2 linked regions of the Saccharomyces cerevisiae S288C genome follow. The gene in region 1 interacts genetically with each later gene. Each region holds a gene or a part of one and is shown in the gene's direction. Other genes may lie near its edges.

What was found. A genetic interaction does not mean that the proteins touch.
Region 2: mutations in SPE2 (region 1) and PPT1 together harm fitness more than expected from each alone (negative genetic interaction), as found in Saccharomyces cerevisiae (one large-scale study listed by BioGRID).

Annotation. Positions count from the first base shown.
Region 1 is NC_001147.6:231,880-235,636, reverse strand, and holds SPE2 (adenosylmethionine decarboxylase SPE2), read left to right. Parts: upstream 1-2,000; coding exon 2,001-3,191; downstream 3,192-3,757. Other genes in the region: GAL11 (Gal11p), read right to left, coding at 1-697.
Region 2 is NC_001139.9:736,557-740,313, reverse strand, and holds PPT1 (protein serine/threonine phosphatase), read left to right. Parts: upstream 1-2,110; coding exon 2,111-3,652; downstream 3,653-3,757. Other genes in the region: ASN2 (asparagine synthase (glutamine-hydrolyzing) 2), read right to left, coding at 1-370. UniProt on the Saccharomyces cerevisiae protein: Protein phosphatase that specifically binds to and dephosphorylates the molecular chaperone Hsp90 (HSC82 and HSP82). Dephosphorylation positively regulates the Hsp90 chaperone machinery.

The DNA of each region.
Region 1 (3,757 bases):
GTAGCCTTGCTTTGAATAGCAACTGCTGGTGAATCTTGTAGACTTCCTTCGCAGCTTCCATATCCTGAGGTGTCAATAGCTTTTGTTGAGCCAAAGCAGTGACCTGCTGCCAGGTGTTGATATTGGGTGGAATGTTAGGAATTCTTTGCAGTAATTGTTTGGGAATAGGTGCCACTTTCATCTGGTTCACTAATTGTTGTTGTTGAGGAGTCAATTGACGCCTCTGTTGCTGCTGCTGCTGTTGTTGTTGTTGTTGTTGATTTCTTAATTGTTGCGCAACCTGTTGCCTTGCCTGAGCCTGCTGATTCAAGAACATCTGTGGGTTTAGATTCATATTGACATTCATATTATTGGCGCTGTTGCCAGAATTTTTCAAGTTGTTAATATGGTGCTGTTCCACGGGTTTAATGTTGTTATTAGCGGCAGCAGCAGTAACGGCGTTTTTCCTCGTATTGTACGTGTTGCGCATGACAGCAACTTTTTCGTTCATGCTGTCCATGTATTCTTTCTTTGAAGAGCTCTTTGCGAACAAAGCTGCCTCGAAGTTTTTGGCATGAATTCTTATCTTATCAGCAGTGTCGGAGCTCCCTCCGTTCAGAGTGTTAATGTCCATGAGCACCTGAAGCAACCCGTTGACGTTCTTCGCACGCTCGGCATTGGACAGAGTGTCTTTGTCTTGGACAGGAGCAGCAGACATAGCAGATTTAAAAGAAATAGCGTTTTAATCCTTGATCTTTGAGTACGGCACTATACGAAACGATACGCTTATAAAAATGGGGTTTAACTAACAAAGAAAAATATACCAGCACAAGTATATAGCAATGTCGTGGAAGTACTTCTTTGTGGAACCAGCTGTTTCCAGAGACAAATTCCTAGTCCTTGTGAATGGTTGACTATTAAAAGTTTGACTGTAAAGGTTAAGCACCTTCATCATCCTCATCCATAATATAATTTTCTGATCGACGCAACCGGGGCCGGGGTGGAAGGAAGGCCCGATTCGAAATAAAAAAGAGGCCGCCACAATGTAGGGTAATGCCTAATTATATTAACTAGAGACTGACTGAATCATATTACTTAGTTACTACTACTCTTATCATGCAAGAAGATGTGAAAAAGCGTCTTCCCCCAAATCATATAACTTCTGCACCATCCGTGGACTGTACAGGTTCAGCGGGGGAATATGTAATTGCTTGTTAGGATTGCTCTTGGGACCGTAGTATCGCGACAAGGAAGTCTGTGTAGTTCCACTTGATGTGGGCTGCCTCGCCGCTTCTTTTGCAGTCCCTAACCTTATATAGATGCGCACGCGCCAAAGCATGAGGGTACTCCATCATGTCTGTTGCACAAATATCGTAGGTTACTTGACGCTAACGTCATGTTTGATGCTCCGTTAACGAAGAGAATCGGAGCTCTTCATCTTAATCAGGCTCTTTTATAGCTCAATCATCAGTGGAAAAAATTCTTCGAACTAGAAAAAAATCAAGAAGTGAAAAAACTAAAACCGCCAACTGGCTACCCGGATAAGCCCCATAATGGCGTTCCTAGGGCTAGAAGAATTTCAAATCGATGACAGCTGATAGAAAGCGCCAGAGATATGTAGCCTTCCATCAGTAGTAATATCCAATAAATTGGGCACCATGGTTTGGCAATCAGGCTTTTTACCCTCGCCCTCTTTTCCTTCGCCTTTTACCTCTTCTGCATCCAATTTCAGCGTACGTACACAATGATTGACTTTGGAAATTTTCACTTTTTTCCACTCGAAGAAAAAAAATTCCAAACACGGTTCTCCGGTATTTAGGCATCGAATAAACTTTGCTAATCGACTAAAAGCATCTCTGCATATCTATACGTGTATATATTGTATTCGCTACAGCTCGCTCCTTGCATCAACTCTTTTTTTCTTTTTTTTCTTCCAGGTTAATCAATTACTGTACTGTAGCTTCTTTTTTATATTTTTTAGGTTTTCATATAGTGTCTTACGCAAATAGGCGGACCATAGAATGACTGTCACCATAAAAGAATTGACTAACCACAACTACATTGACCACGAACTATCAGCCACTTTAGACTCAACGGATGCGTTCGAGGGTCCCGAGAAGTTGCTGGAAATCTGGTTCTTCCCTCACAAGAAGTCCATCACGACCGAAAAGACATTAAGAAATATTGGCATGGATAGATGGATCGAGATTTTGAAATTAGTGAAATGCGAAGTTCTTTCCATGAAGAAGACTAAAGAACTGGATGCCTTTTTGTTGAGTGAGTCTTCCCTCTTCGTCTTCGATCACAAATTGACGATGAAGACGTGCGGTACTACAACCACATTGTTCTGTCTCGAAAAGCTTTTCCAGATCGTTGAGCAAGAGTTATCGTGGGCTTTCCGCACAACACAAGGGGGCAAGTACAAACCATTTAAAGTGTTTTATTCTAGACGATGTTTCCTTTTCCCCTGTAAGCAAGCCGCTATCCATCAAAACTGGGCTGACGAAGTCGACTATTTGAACAAATTTTTCGACAATGGTAAAAGTTATTCCGTGGGAAGAAATGACAAGAGCAACCACTGGAACCTGTACGTCACCGAGACGGACCGCTCCACACCTAAGGGAAAGGAGTACATCGAGGATGACGACGAAACTTTCGAAGTACTGATGACGGAGCTGGACCCAGAATGCGCTAGTAAGTTTGTTTGCGGGCCTGAGGCATCCACAACCGCTCTCGTGGAGCCAAACGAAGATAAGGGCCACAACCTCGGCTACCAAATGACTAAAAATACAAGGCTTGACGAAATATATGTCAACTCGGCCCAAGACTCCGATTTATCATTTCACCACGATGCATTTGCGTTCACGCCATGTGGATACTCATCCAATATGATTCTCGCTGAAAAATACTATTACACCCTGCACGTGACTCCGGAAAAGGGTTGGTCTTACGCCTCTTTCGAAAGTAACATACCCGTATTTGACATTTCCCAAGGGAAGCAAGACAACTTGGACGTTCTTCTACATATTCTGAACGTTTTTCAACCAAGAGAGTTCTCGATGACCTTTTTTACCAAAAATTATCAGAACCAATCCTTCCAAAAACTACTAAGCATCAACGAGTCACTGCCCGACTACATCAAGTTAGACAAAATTGTTTATGATCTGGACGACTACCACCTTTTCTATATGAAATTGCAGAAGAAAATATGAAAAGCCGCCATTTGTGTCTCCTCATACTTACATAGAATAGCCCTCTTCTATTATCCTTCGCTTGCTTTCTAGCACTCATAACTAATGTAGTTTAACCCGCTTGTATATCTTCTACATCATTACCCCGCATGCTTTTTTTTTTCCTCTAGAGAAAACCGGCACAGATTGGCCGGACCCGGAACAGGAAAAATGGCCACTGAAAATTCCTGGCCAGACCACCCCTGAGCTAAGGGAGTTTAGCCGCTCAAGCTTTTATTTCCTCTGATGTAATATATCACACACCCAGACACGGTTGCCAAGGCCTCGACGGAAGGCCGCTTCAAGGGACGGGGCAGTGGCTATCAGAAATACCTTAATATCATCAATATTTTTCATCAATCGCAAGGTGTCAAACATCAATAAAGGATGATGCTCAAAGGTTTATGCCCGATGTTCTTCTAATCCCCTTTCTCTCCTAAAATAATCCTTTTTTTACTCTTCTTCTTTTCCCCTGTTTCCATTTTTGTCTTTTCTCACCCCTTATGGGACATCAATAATGCAAGTATGTTTATACATTTTTATATAAA
Region 2 (3,757 bases), on another chromosome or scaffold:
GACAAAATGCGAACATACCGTCCAGATATTTTGGAGCATCGATATCATGTTCCAAATATAACGGTATGATGGGTTCACAGTCACTGAAAGTTTGAAACTTGTAATCAGAGCACATCTCCCTTAGTTGGATGTGGTTGTAGATCTCACCATTAACGCCAAGCATATATTCGCCATCAGCTGAAGTGATTGGCTGGGCACCGGAGTCTAAACCAACAATAGCCAACCTCTCGTGAACGAAAATGGTGGAATTCATAACGGCATTTCCTGACCAATCTGGGCCACGGTGTCTGATTTTTTTAGATAGTTGTAGAGCTTTTGGTTTGAAGTTGTGAATATCTTCATGCTTGAAGGCTGCAAAGATACCACACATATTGTATTGTAGTGAGTATTTGTGTTTTGGTGAGCTTAACTGGGAAGCAAAAAAAATAGTATAAAAGTTAAATTAGAATAAATGAAACTAAGCAAGTGGCAAATCTTTGAAATATGCGATTCAAAGTCATAATTTTTTCAAGAAGAGAGGCTGGATGAGGCTTTACTGATTTTCTGGAGAAATCTTGCCATGAGTCAATGCTAAGAAAATTTGCAAAAACCCGCGCCGTGCGGCACCCATATGTGAATAAAGCTTTACTAGTAGATAGAAAATGTAGACCATTCCTGCAGGGTCCATACTACGGACGTATGGCTTTGTGAATCGTTTCACAAAGCCAAAAGAATGAACCCAATACGCAAGGTCCAGTTATGCAGAGAGCAGCAGGATAGCGGCTGTTGCACGCAACGAGACTGTTCTCTCATGTTTTCCACGATTTGATATATCCCCCTCTTAGTAAATACAGAGCCGTTCGAACGGTTTCTTTAGTAAAATCCAGGCTCCACCTTGATGGGAGGCATGATGAGTTCCAATTAGGAATGAGCAGGAGCTCACTTTAATCTTGTTATCGCAATGTGGAGTTAGCCTTAAGAACGTGTCCAAACCTCTTATGTATTGTTTTGTTCGTAATTTGATCGCTTTGTACGTGCAAATCGCTCTCTGCCCACAGCAGGAAGGACCACATAAGTGAATAAGTAAGTGGTGGTTCTATGATTTATCGGGATCTTATATTTGCATTCTAAAAAGTAAATGGTCTCTAGCGGGATCGAACCGCTGATCCCCGCGTTATTAGCACGGTGCCTTAACCAACTGGGCCAAGAGACCTATTTTTTTCGGAAGTCACTGATTAATAGTTTGATAATACAGGTGTAAAGAGTAGTATTTTCATGTGTCGCATTGTGTATGACAACATATGTGCGTTCGAAATAGATATAAGGCTTCTAATTTTCAAAGAAGGCGGTATCGTTAAGTATATGCATATGTTACGGTTTCACCTTGAGGATTAGAACTCTAAAAAAGGAAATAAGAGTGCTACAAAAAATGACGATTACTTCTTTTTTCGTTCTATGATATCGCCGCTCATTGTTCTATTACATCACCAATCCTTGAAATTTCAGCTTCATTGAATTGATGATGCTTTTAATAGAAACCATTTATGTCATATTTTGAGAGCCATACATGATAATATTCTGGTAATATAATCATAAGTTATTGGTTGTAGTTGGCGTAATATTCCAGGATTACGAATATGTATTTTATTTTACGCCCGCCATGTTGTATTTTTTTATCATAAAATTTTACACCATGACAAATCTAATACCACTGATGCAGTGTACTGTTTATACTTAAGAAATAGGTAAATTTTGAGATAATTGTTGGGGTTCCACAATACTGTCTGTCATCTTCTGTTATTCTGAGTATTTTTTTTCCTTTTAGCAGTTTCTTGTTCGTACCTTGGCCACTGAAAATTCTGGCTGAGACAATTATCAGGAACACTTCTAGTCCTCAAAAGTTCCTTCTCATTTTCTTCTTTATGAAAATATTTTTTCAATCATTGTATGTATGTATTTCTTTTTCCGTTAAAACGCTAAACCAGGGAAAAAAACGACGGCGGGAAACTGAAAAATTTCACAGATGAGGTAAGAAAATTGGCGAAAACAGCTTATAGAGCTTGACACAGAACTTTAACAATTTTAGAGGCAAGAAATAACGCTTGCCTTGGTATAATCAAATATCTCGAATATGTCAACACCCACAGCAGCAGATCGCGCGAAGGCACTTGAAAGAAAGAACGAAGGAAATGTTTTTGTGAAGGAAAAACATTTTTTAAAGGCCATTGAAAAATATACAGAGGCGATCGATTTAGATTCTACACAGTCTATCTATTTTTCGAACAGAGCATTTGCTCACTTTAAGGTAGATAACTTTCAAAGCGCTTTAAATGACTGTGATGAAGCCATTAAACTGGATCCCAAAAATATCAAAGCTTATCATAGACGTGCATTATCCTGCATGGCTCTGCTAGAATTTAAAAAGGCTAGGAAAGATTTGAATGTGCTTCTAAAGGCGAAGCCCAATGATCCGGCTGCTACTAAGGCGTTACTTACATGTGATAGGTTCATTAGAGAAGAAAGATTTAGGAAAGCTATCGGAGGCGCAGAAAATGAAGCCAAGATCAGTTTGTGTCAGACTTTGAACTTGAGTTCATTTGATGCTAATGCAGATTTAGCCAATTATGAAGGTCCAAAGTTAGAATTTGAACAGCTGTATGACGATAAGAATGCCTTTAAAGGTGCAAAGATCAAGAACATGTCTCAAGAGTTTATTTCCAAAATGGTTAACGATCTTTTCCTAAAGGGAAAATATTTACCAAAAAAGTACGTTGCAGCTATTATCTCTCATGCTGATACCTTATTTCGTCAAGAGCCATCTATGGTAGAACTAGAAAATAACTCTACTCCTGATGTTAAGATATCAGTATGTGGTGATACGCATGGCCAATTTTATGATGTTTTGAATTTATTTCGCAAGTTTGGTAAAGTAGGTCCTAAGCACACTTATCTATTCAATGGTGATTTTGTCGACCGTGGTTCTTGGTCGTGTGAAGTTGCACTATTATTCTACTGTTTGAAAATATTACATCCAAATAATTTCTTTTTGAACAGAGGTAATCATGAGAGTGATAATATGAACAAAATCTATGGGTTTGAAGATGAGTGTAAATACAAATATTCACAAAGGATATTTAACATGTTTGCACAAAGTTTTGAGAGCCTTCCATTGGCTACCTTAATTAATAATGATTACCTTGTAATGCATGGTGGTTTACCAAGTGATCCTTCAGCAACTTTGTCTGATTTCAAGAATATTGATAGATTTGCCCAACCACCTAGAGATGGCGCCTTTATGGAACTTCTATGGGCGGACCCACAAGAAGCCAACGGGATGGGTCCTTCTCAGCGTGGTTTAGGACATGCTTTTGGACCCGACATTACAGATAGATTTCTAAGAAACAACAAATTGCGCAAGATTTTTAGATCTCACGAGTTAAGAATGGGTGGTGTGCAATTCGAGCAGAAGGGTAAATTAATGACAGTTTTCAGTGCTCCAAACTATTGTGATAGCCAAGGTAATCTTGGGGGTGTTATTCATGTTGTACCAGGCCATGGTATTTTACAGGCTGGCAGGAATGACGACCAAAATCTAATAATTGAGACATTCGAAGCTGTTGAGCACCCAGATATAAAACCAATGGCCTATTCTAATGGTGGTTTTGGTTTATAGTCATGCCTTTTCTATTTTGCTAGATTATTATCAAAAGCAGAAAGTCTGGGAATAAAAGAAACTAATATGAGCTAACGAAGTGGAGGAAGTAACTTTTTTTTTTTT